Linked DNA regions of Macaca mulatta. The protein of the gene in region 1 purifies or fractionates together with the protein of each later gene. This does not show direct contact. Links are inferred from orthologs where the notes say so. Each region holds a gene or a part of one and is shown in the gene's direction. Other genes may lie near its edges.

The links. The genes of interacting proteins can lie anywhere in the genome.
Region 2: the proteins of DNAJA1 (region 1) and TUBA1A purify together in Homo sapiens (affinity purification with mass spectrometry; 3 studies listed by BioGRID and IntAct, with this or other methods). This does not show direct contact. The link is inferred for Macaca mulatta from reciprocal best matches to the Homo sapiens genes DNAJA1 and TUBA1A.

The regions. Positions count from the first base shown.
Region 1 is NC_133420.1:66,342,976-66,346,622, reverse strand, and holds part of DNAJA1 (dnaJ homolog subfamily A member 1), read left to right. Parts: intron 1-1,601; coding exon 1,602-1,734; coding exon of another isoform or gene 1,735-1,740; intron 1,741-2,181; coding exon 2,182-2,409; intron 2,410-3,647.
Region 2 is NC_133416.1:56,351,529-56,355,660, reverse strand, and holds the start of TUBA1A (tubulin alpha-1A chain), read left to right. Parts: upstream 1-1,323; 5' UTR 1,324-1,413; coding exon 1,414-1,416; exon of another isoform or gene 1,417-1,972; coding exon of another isoform or gene 1,973-1,975; intron 1,976-3,620; coding exon 3,621-3,843; intron 3,844-3,965; coding exon 3,966-4,114; intron 4,115-4,132. UniProt on the Homo sapiens protein: Tubulin is the major constituent of microtubules, a cylinder consisting of laterally associated linear protofilaments composed of alpha- and beta-tubulin heterodimers.

The DNA.
Region 1 (3,647 bases):
AGTGGCCTTTTTCAAATGAGAGTAAGTTAAAGTTCAGAAACATAAAACGTCTTCAAGCTCATATAGCAAACCAACAGAGCCAGGGCTGAAAACTGGTTCGTTGCCTGCCACCTATCTAATGTTGCTTCAGCTTTATTGTGTCAAAATTATGTATTTAATATATTTATCAGGAAAGTGGCCTATGGGCTCTAGAAATACTGCTCATAGGAATAAAGTGTTTAAGTCAAGAGAAATTAGTCTCACTTTATTACCAGTATAGTGAATACAAACAAGGGCTATGAGCAGAACCAGTTTTAGAATGAATGGCCAAGCCATTAAGTTTCACTTTGAGCTTCTAAGATATTTAAACTCCTTAAAAAGAAAGTGCATAATCCAAATCACTTGCTTAGTAAATTGGTAGAATTTGTCCACAAAAAAGTAGTGGTGGTTTTTCATTTACCTTACAAAGAACTGACCTGCAGGTTAACATTGGCAAGCTATTTTATGTGGCTTTAGATCATATTGAGAGGTTATTTTTGGGGAAATGTGCTTCCCCAAGCTCTAGAAGCTTTATTTTTCCTTCTTTATATTCTCAACACTGTACAAAATAAGGGCAGCTAGATTTTAGCGTGCCAAAACTAAAGGTGGAGCTATAAGCAGAAGGACATAATTAATGGTATTTCATGCTTGATTAGAAAGTAAAAATGTTCATTAGGCATGAACAGAAACGAGTTTGAGAACTTGTTTCAGTTGGTGGAAATGCAGTAATATTGTGAATAAGTTCTTGTGGAAGGATCACTAGCTAGGAACTTACTAACTTATTAGCAGGTGACTTCATATTTCTAACCTCCGTGTCCTTATGAGATCTTGACCTTCCATTTCCCATTCTGATTTAAGTGAAGTAAGGCACTCCTTAGGAGCCACTGGCCATGTGTGGCTCCATTAATTTAAGAAAAAAACAAAACTACAGTTTCTTAGTCTAAAGAAAGCACATGTGATTCGTGGCTACTGTGTTGGATAGAACAGATATGAAACGTTTATCACTGCAGAAAGTTCTGTTGGGCAATGCTAGTATAAAAGGTATGAGAAATTTGGCCTTTAAAACAACCGGTGCTGGCCCAGCAGTAAATGGGCTGTTTTCTACTAAATCAGGAAGAAGTAGAAATTGATACTCTTCTGTGGTAACTCAATAAATGCATCAACTTCCCTGGCCAATCTTGGTTAATGAGAATTTACTGTGCTACAGAATTTTTGGATGAAGTAATTGGTCACGTTGCTCAATACGGTACGAAGTGAAAGCTTCAAAGAATATATTGTGACAGAAATGAATGTTTGGATTATTGTGAAATGTGCCCTTTTAAATAACGTTGGTTTTTCTCAGGTGACTTTGAGGTTAATGTTTCTGCTTACCATATTTCCAAGATGGTCATGTCTATGCCCTTAGGCAAATATTTAATTTCTGACCTGATTTTCTCTCATCTGTGATTACATCACAGTTTGAGGATATTCTGTGTATATAGTAGGTAGTCAACAGATGTACCCTGTGAGGCTCATTTTTTATTATCCTTTCACATTCTTTATAGTGCCTTTAGCACGAATAAGTAAGATTCAACATCAAACAGATTTGTAATGAGAAATACTTTGTTTTAGGCAAAAATGTTGTACATCAGCTCTCAGTAACCCTAGAAGACTTATATAATGGTGCAACAAGAAAACTGGCTCTGCAAAAGAATGTGATTTGTGACAAATGTGAAGGTACGGGTTTTTTTTGTTTTGTTTTTTGTTTTTTTAAACGTCTTTAATATGACACCTGAAAATGGAGCTAAGACTTCCTGGATACGTAAAATTGACTCACGTACACTACGTAGATTTTGGGGGAGGGGAGGGCTGATATAAAGAAAACCGACTGAAAACCTGCCACCTAAAGAAATAACAGCACTATTTTCTGTGTATATTTTAAATATAGGGATCAAGCTAGCTTGGTATCTTTTTTGTAATAAGTAAAATTATTTACTGGAAATGAAGTATGTTCTAATGAGAATAAAACTAATTAAAATGATTTCATCAGTTACATATTCAGAGGGTAGCATTCCATCAGACTTTGAAAATATTAAAAGTACAGCATTTAGGAATTGTCTTCTTAAAACATTTACTACTGTATACACTAATTCATACGTTATTCAATTTTCTTTTTACATTTAGGTAGAGGAGGTAAGAAAGGAGCAGTAGAGTGCTGTCCCAATTGCCGAGGTACTGGAATGCAAATAAGAATTCATCAGATAGGACCTGGAATGGTTCAGCAAATTCAGTCTGTGTGCATGGAGTGCCAGGGCCATGGGGAGCGGATCAGTCCTAAAGATAGATGTAAAAGCTGCAACGGAAGGAAGATAGTTCGAGAGAAGAAGATTCTAGAGGTTCATATTGACAAAGGTGAGTTCTGAGCTACTTATTCTGAAGTCTTGAATGCTGTGGCAGATTTATTATTAACATTTTATAGTTTAAAAAGCATTCTTGGCCGGGCACGGTGGCTCAAGCCTGTAATCCCAGCACTTTGGGAGGCTGAGACGGGCGGATCACGAGGTCAGGAGATCGAGACCATCCTGGCTAACACGGTGAAACCCCGTCTCTACAAAAAAAAATAGAAAAAACTAGCCGGGCGAGGTGGCGGGCGCCTGTAGTCCCAGCTACTGGGGAGGCTGAGGCAGGAGAATGGCATAAACCCGGGAGGCGGAGCTTGCAGTGAGCTGAGATCCGGCCCCTGCACTCCAGCCTGGGCAACAGAGCGAGACTCCATCTCAAAAAAAAAACCATTCTTAGTTAGGTTATATATGATCCTATCACTCAGAAATAGATCTTAGCAGCGTAATATATAATGTTTTTCCATCCAGACATAATTTTGCATATTGGTATATTACTAATAGAAAATAAGGAATCTCCTCATCTAATATAAACAGGATCATTTTTTGAAATCAGTGGTCCTGTAAATGATTGAATAGTGTTCCAAACTTAATTCTCTGCTGTTAAACCATAGTTCTTCCATCTTTTAAAAAATTAGAATGAAGTTATTTGAACACATTCCTAATTAAGAGTTATTAGATCAAGGGATAGGCATATTTTTAAGGATTTGAGAAGGGAGTTAGGTGAAGAATTGGGTCTCATTAAAATTCATGGTTTTTTTTGTTTTTTTCTGAGACAGAGTTTTGCGCTCATTTCCCAGGCTGGAATGTGCAATGGCACGATCTCAGCTCATTGCAACATCTGCCTCCCAGGTTCAAGCAATTCTTCTGCCTCAGTCTACCAAGTAGCTGGGATTACAGGCACCCAGCACCACTCCTGGCTAATGTTTTGTATTTTTAGTAGAGACAGGGTTTCACCATGTTGGCCAGGCTGATCTCGGACACCTGACCTCAGGTGATCACCTGCCTCGGCTTTCCAAAGTGCTAGAATTACAGGCATGAGCTACCACACCCGGCGTCATGTTTATTTTTTAAACTAATGGACATGTTTTCTGTTCTTTGTTTTTTTTCCTGAGATAGAGTCTTGCTCTGTTGCCCAGGCTTGAGTGCAGTGATGCCATCTTGGCTCACTCTAACCTCCCCTCCCAGGTTCAAGCGATTCTCCTACCTCAACCTCCCAGGTAGCTGGGACTACAGGTGTGTGCCACCATA
Region 2 (4,132 bases), on another chromosome or scaffold:
TCTGCATAGCCCATCGTTGCTGAGAATGGAGCCTTTCTAAATAGCAAGACAATGTTACTCCAATTTATTTCCTAGGGGTGAAAGCAAAGCCTTTTTGTCCCAAGGGGCAACTGAGCAACCACCAGAGTCTCTAGTTGAATAGCAAGGGTGTGAGGCTGGCTAAAATTCCCACAGTCAGAAGCCCACTCGCAGGAGGATATTTACCAAATTGACATAAGAACTGCATAAAAAGTAAATGCAGTTATTGAGCTGATGTTTCACAGTTGTCTGTAGATGGAGGCAACATTGCAAAATAGTCTTCTTTTTACATTATATTATTCTCTTCTTCTTTTTAATTTGGTGTCTTGGTTATTACTATTATTTTGCTTGTTACTTTCCAGACAAAAGTCCAGTGCAGATATGTAACTGCACACATGTAGTACTAACTTCTGAGCTCAATTATTTCTCCTTGTATTTTCCCAATTTTATATCAGGAAAGATGATTCATTCCAAAGGACAATGCACCACACAAAATGTGTTACATAGACTTCTCATAAAGGAATACCTCTAGTAAACTATTATAACTACTCTACGTGCACTTGCTGTTGATTATTGCCATGTTAGAACTATTTGTTCGCTTCTTTATTTAGTATGGTTATTATTTCCATCTTCCAGTTTTATTTAGCTATTCGAGTGTGCATGTGCCTGCAAAAGAAGCTCTGAAAATAAGTTAGTTGAACCTGAGAAGCCATTTTGAATGACTGTATGACTAAATGTTTTTTTTAAATTAAAAAAAATCACAATTACCCAGACCGTTTTGAGCATTACGCCCATTTTCTCTCCCACTTTATTTTTAAAGCAATTAGAGATATTGAACCCTAACAAAATGTAGTCGAGTTTAATATACTGCGAGGGAGGGGCTGGCAGTAATTTTCCTTTAAATATTTAATCTGAACATAAATCTGTTATTAAGGGTAGGGGGAAAAAACCTCACATAGATAATTTTAACTGCATTTTGGGGTTTAAGCAACATAAAGTCTTCCAACCCCAGTCCCCTTTCTTCTTCCGCCCCTCCCCGACCCCACCCCATAATGGATGCTCGGCAGAATGCTTCTGCACGGTCTCTTTGTCTAAAGGATGCAAACAGTCTACGGATGCTAGAGAAAAAGGGGTGGGGGAGAGATTACCTCATCCCACGTCGTTTGCACCAATCACCAGTCTCCTGTCCTGGCTTCTCTGGGCAGATTGGGGGTCTGGACCAACAGGAACAGGCCCCGGCCCATCCCCATGGTGACCGAGTTGTATATATGGAGCCGCATCCGCCCATGTGCCGCAGGTTCTCTTACATCGACCGCCTAAGAGTCGCGCTGTAAGAAGCAACAACCTTCTCCTCCTTGTCTCCGCCATCTGCTCTGCAGTCGCGAAGCAGCAACCATGGTGAGAATCGGCTTTGGCTCTTTGTGGCCGTTGGGTGGAGTCAGCGCCCCCAGGCTCTGCTTGGAAAATCTTTAAGCTCTTTTCTTTCGTAAGCTCTCTGGGCGAGGGTGGTGGTGTGTTTTGTGAGGTTTAGCTTTACCCCAAATCCTCCAGCTCCGCCGCCGCCGCAGTGCGGGTGCAGGAACCCGGCCAGGACTGCGCCCAGGGCGCTGCAGAGCGCTGGGGAGGAACAAAGGCGGCGCCTGGGCGCCTGTGTTGTCCTACAGCCTTTCGGGGTCGCGGGCAGCCCGTCTGCCGCAACCGAGGGGTCTCGGGCGTCCCGGCTGGGTCCAGTGTCTGTGCGCACGGTTTCGCAGACGCCGAGGGGCCCCTTTCTGTCTCGCCTCGTTCTCTGGGGACCGGGAGAGGAGGAGGCACCCAAAAAGAGCGGGGGCGTTGGGCGAGCTGGGGGATGTGGGAGGGGGAACGGGAACAAAGCGCAGCCTGGGGTTAGCGTGGGAAGACCCCTCGCGGTCGTTGGCGTTTTGGAAAGATAACCACACATTCCCGGGGAAACATGGTGAGTTTCTACTGGAGCCCCCGGCAGCGGGTGTCAGGGCGGCGCAGGGGCGGGGTTGTTTGTTTCTGGCTTCTATGGCGTTGGAGCCACTGGGCGGGGTTCGCCCTCACTAAACCTCCTCTGTCAGGAGCTGACTTAAAAAAAACTTTTCATCATTGCGGAACTGTAGGCTCCAAAAGGGTTTTCTTCGCTATTATAATTAAGATGACCTTTTTTTTTTTCTCTTGAGCAAAATCACAATTCACTTGACAAACTCTTTAATGTCTGGTCTGGGGACGCCCTGCCCTGACCGACTGAAGTGTGTGTGTGTGTGTGTGTGTGTGTGTGTGCGTGCGTGCTGCTCGTTCAGCGAGGGAGAAAGCCTACTTTGTGAGCCCCAGGGTACCCTGATGGTCGTGTGTGTGTGTGTGTGTGTGTGTGTGTGTGTGTGTGTGTGCGCGCGCTGCTCGTTCAGCGAGGGAGAAAGCCCACTTTGTGAGCCCCAGGGTACCCTGATGGTCAGGACCAGGGAAACGCCCTTCCCCGCCGCCCCCCTCCGCCCCGCCCCCACCACATCAGCGAATAGACAATGAAAGTGGTAGCCCTAAAGACCACAGAGAAGAAAACCTCTATTGGATGCAAAGAATATGAATATTATGTGGTGGGTAGAGAATCTCAGGATTAAAATACTATTTTGTTGTTTTAAATAAATATTTCACTATCGTTCCACTGGGCTTTTATTCTTTGTTTGCTACCTTTTCATGTGATGCTTGTTTCTAACTTAGGAACGTGTGTGTGTGTGTGTGTGTGTGTGTGTGTGTGTGTTTTAAGATACGGATAATTTTTCAGCTTTTACAGTGGAGAAGATCTGGAAAAACCTTTTTCTTTAAAAAAAGGAATGAAATTGCTACAGACAAAGAATTATACTCCGCATCCCGTTGTCTTTTGTTCTAGTGCATCTTCATTAATTCATTTCAATTCAGGCACATGGTCCCGGGCGGGGTCAGAGGAGGAAAACTGGCAAAACAGCACAATGAGATCATGTAGGCAGTTGCTGGAAATAGAGCTTGCTCTGTTAAATAATGTAGCAGACAGTACAGGCTAGCACCAGGCACAGCAAATACAGCAATGCAGCAATGCAGAAGGCAGAAGCAGACCTTGTCTAAACCCCTTGTATTGATGGATTCTGCAGACAGACTGCAGAAGGGTGTGGCTTCTTGCCTCAGCTGCAGTACAGATGTCCATGTTATAATATCAAGTCAGTCCTATTCAGAAGAAACTTTCTTCTTTATTTAAAAGGGAAGAAAGCAGTAAAATTAATCCCAATTATGTCATAATTGAATTTACTTCATTTTACAAAATTTGTGCTTTGAATACTGAATACTTTTTAAATATGAAAAGTCTTTTATTCAAGCATGGTAGTAGGCACAATGGGCTGGTACCATGTGCTGAACAGGGCCAAGGCGACATCATTATTCAGACCACACCCATATGCAGCATTTGCAGCAGGTCATTTTCCTTAATCTTTGTATCGTGCTAGGGATGTGACCTCAAATAATTTTGAAAAATATCTGTATATTATTAGAAATATTTTTAAAAGTTTACTAAAAGTTTGAAATGCTAATACGCCTTAATTTTACAATTTTTTCACTTTTCCTTCCCACAGCGTGAGTGCATCTCCATCCATGTTGGCCAGGCTGGTGTCCAGATTGGCAATGCCTGCTGGGAGCTCTACTGCCTGGAACACGGCATCCAGCCCGATGGTCAGATGCCAAGTGACAAGACCATTGGGGGAGGAGATGATTCCTTCAACACCTTCTTCAGTGAGACGGGCGCTGGCAAGCATGTGCCCCGGGCCGTGTTTGTAGACTTGGAACCCACGGTCATTGGTGAGTTGACCTCAGTAACCCAAGTGAGATCCCAGGATGCTGGGACAGGAGGTCTGTCCTGGGGGGCTCCGCTAGTCACCCACTCACCCACTCCCTCCATCCTTCTCTCCCTCCTTCTCCAGATGAAGTTCGCACTGGCACCTACCGCCAGCTCTTCCACCCTGAGCAGCTCATCACAGGCAAGGAAGATGCTGCCAATAACTATGCCCGAGGGCACTACACCATTGGCAAGGAGATCATTGACCTTGTGTTGGACCGAATTCGTAAGCTGGTATGTTTCTTTTCAAGA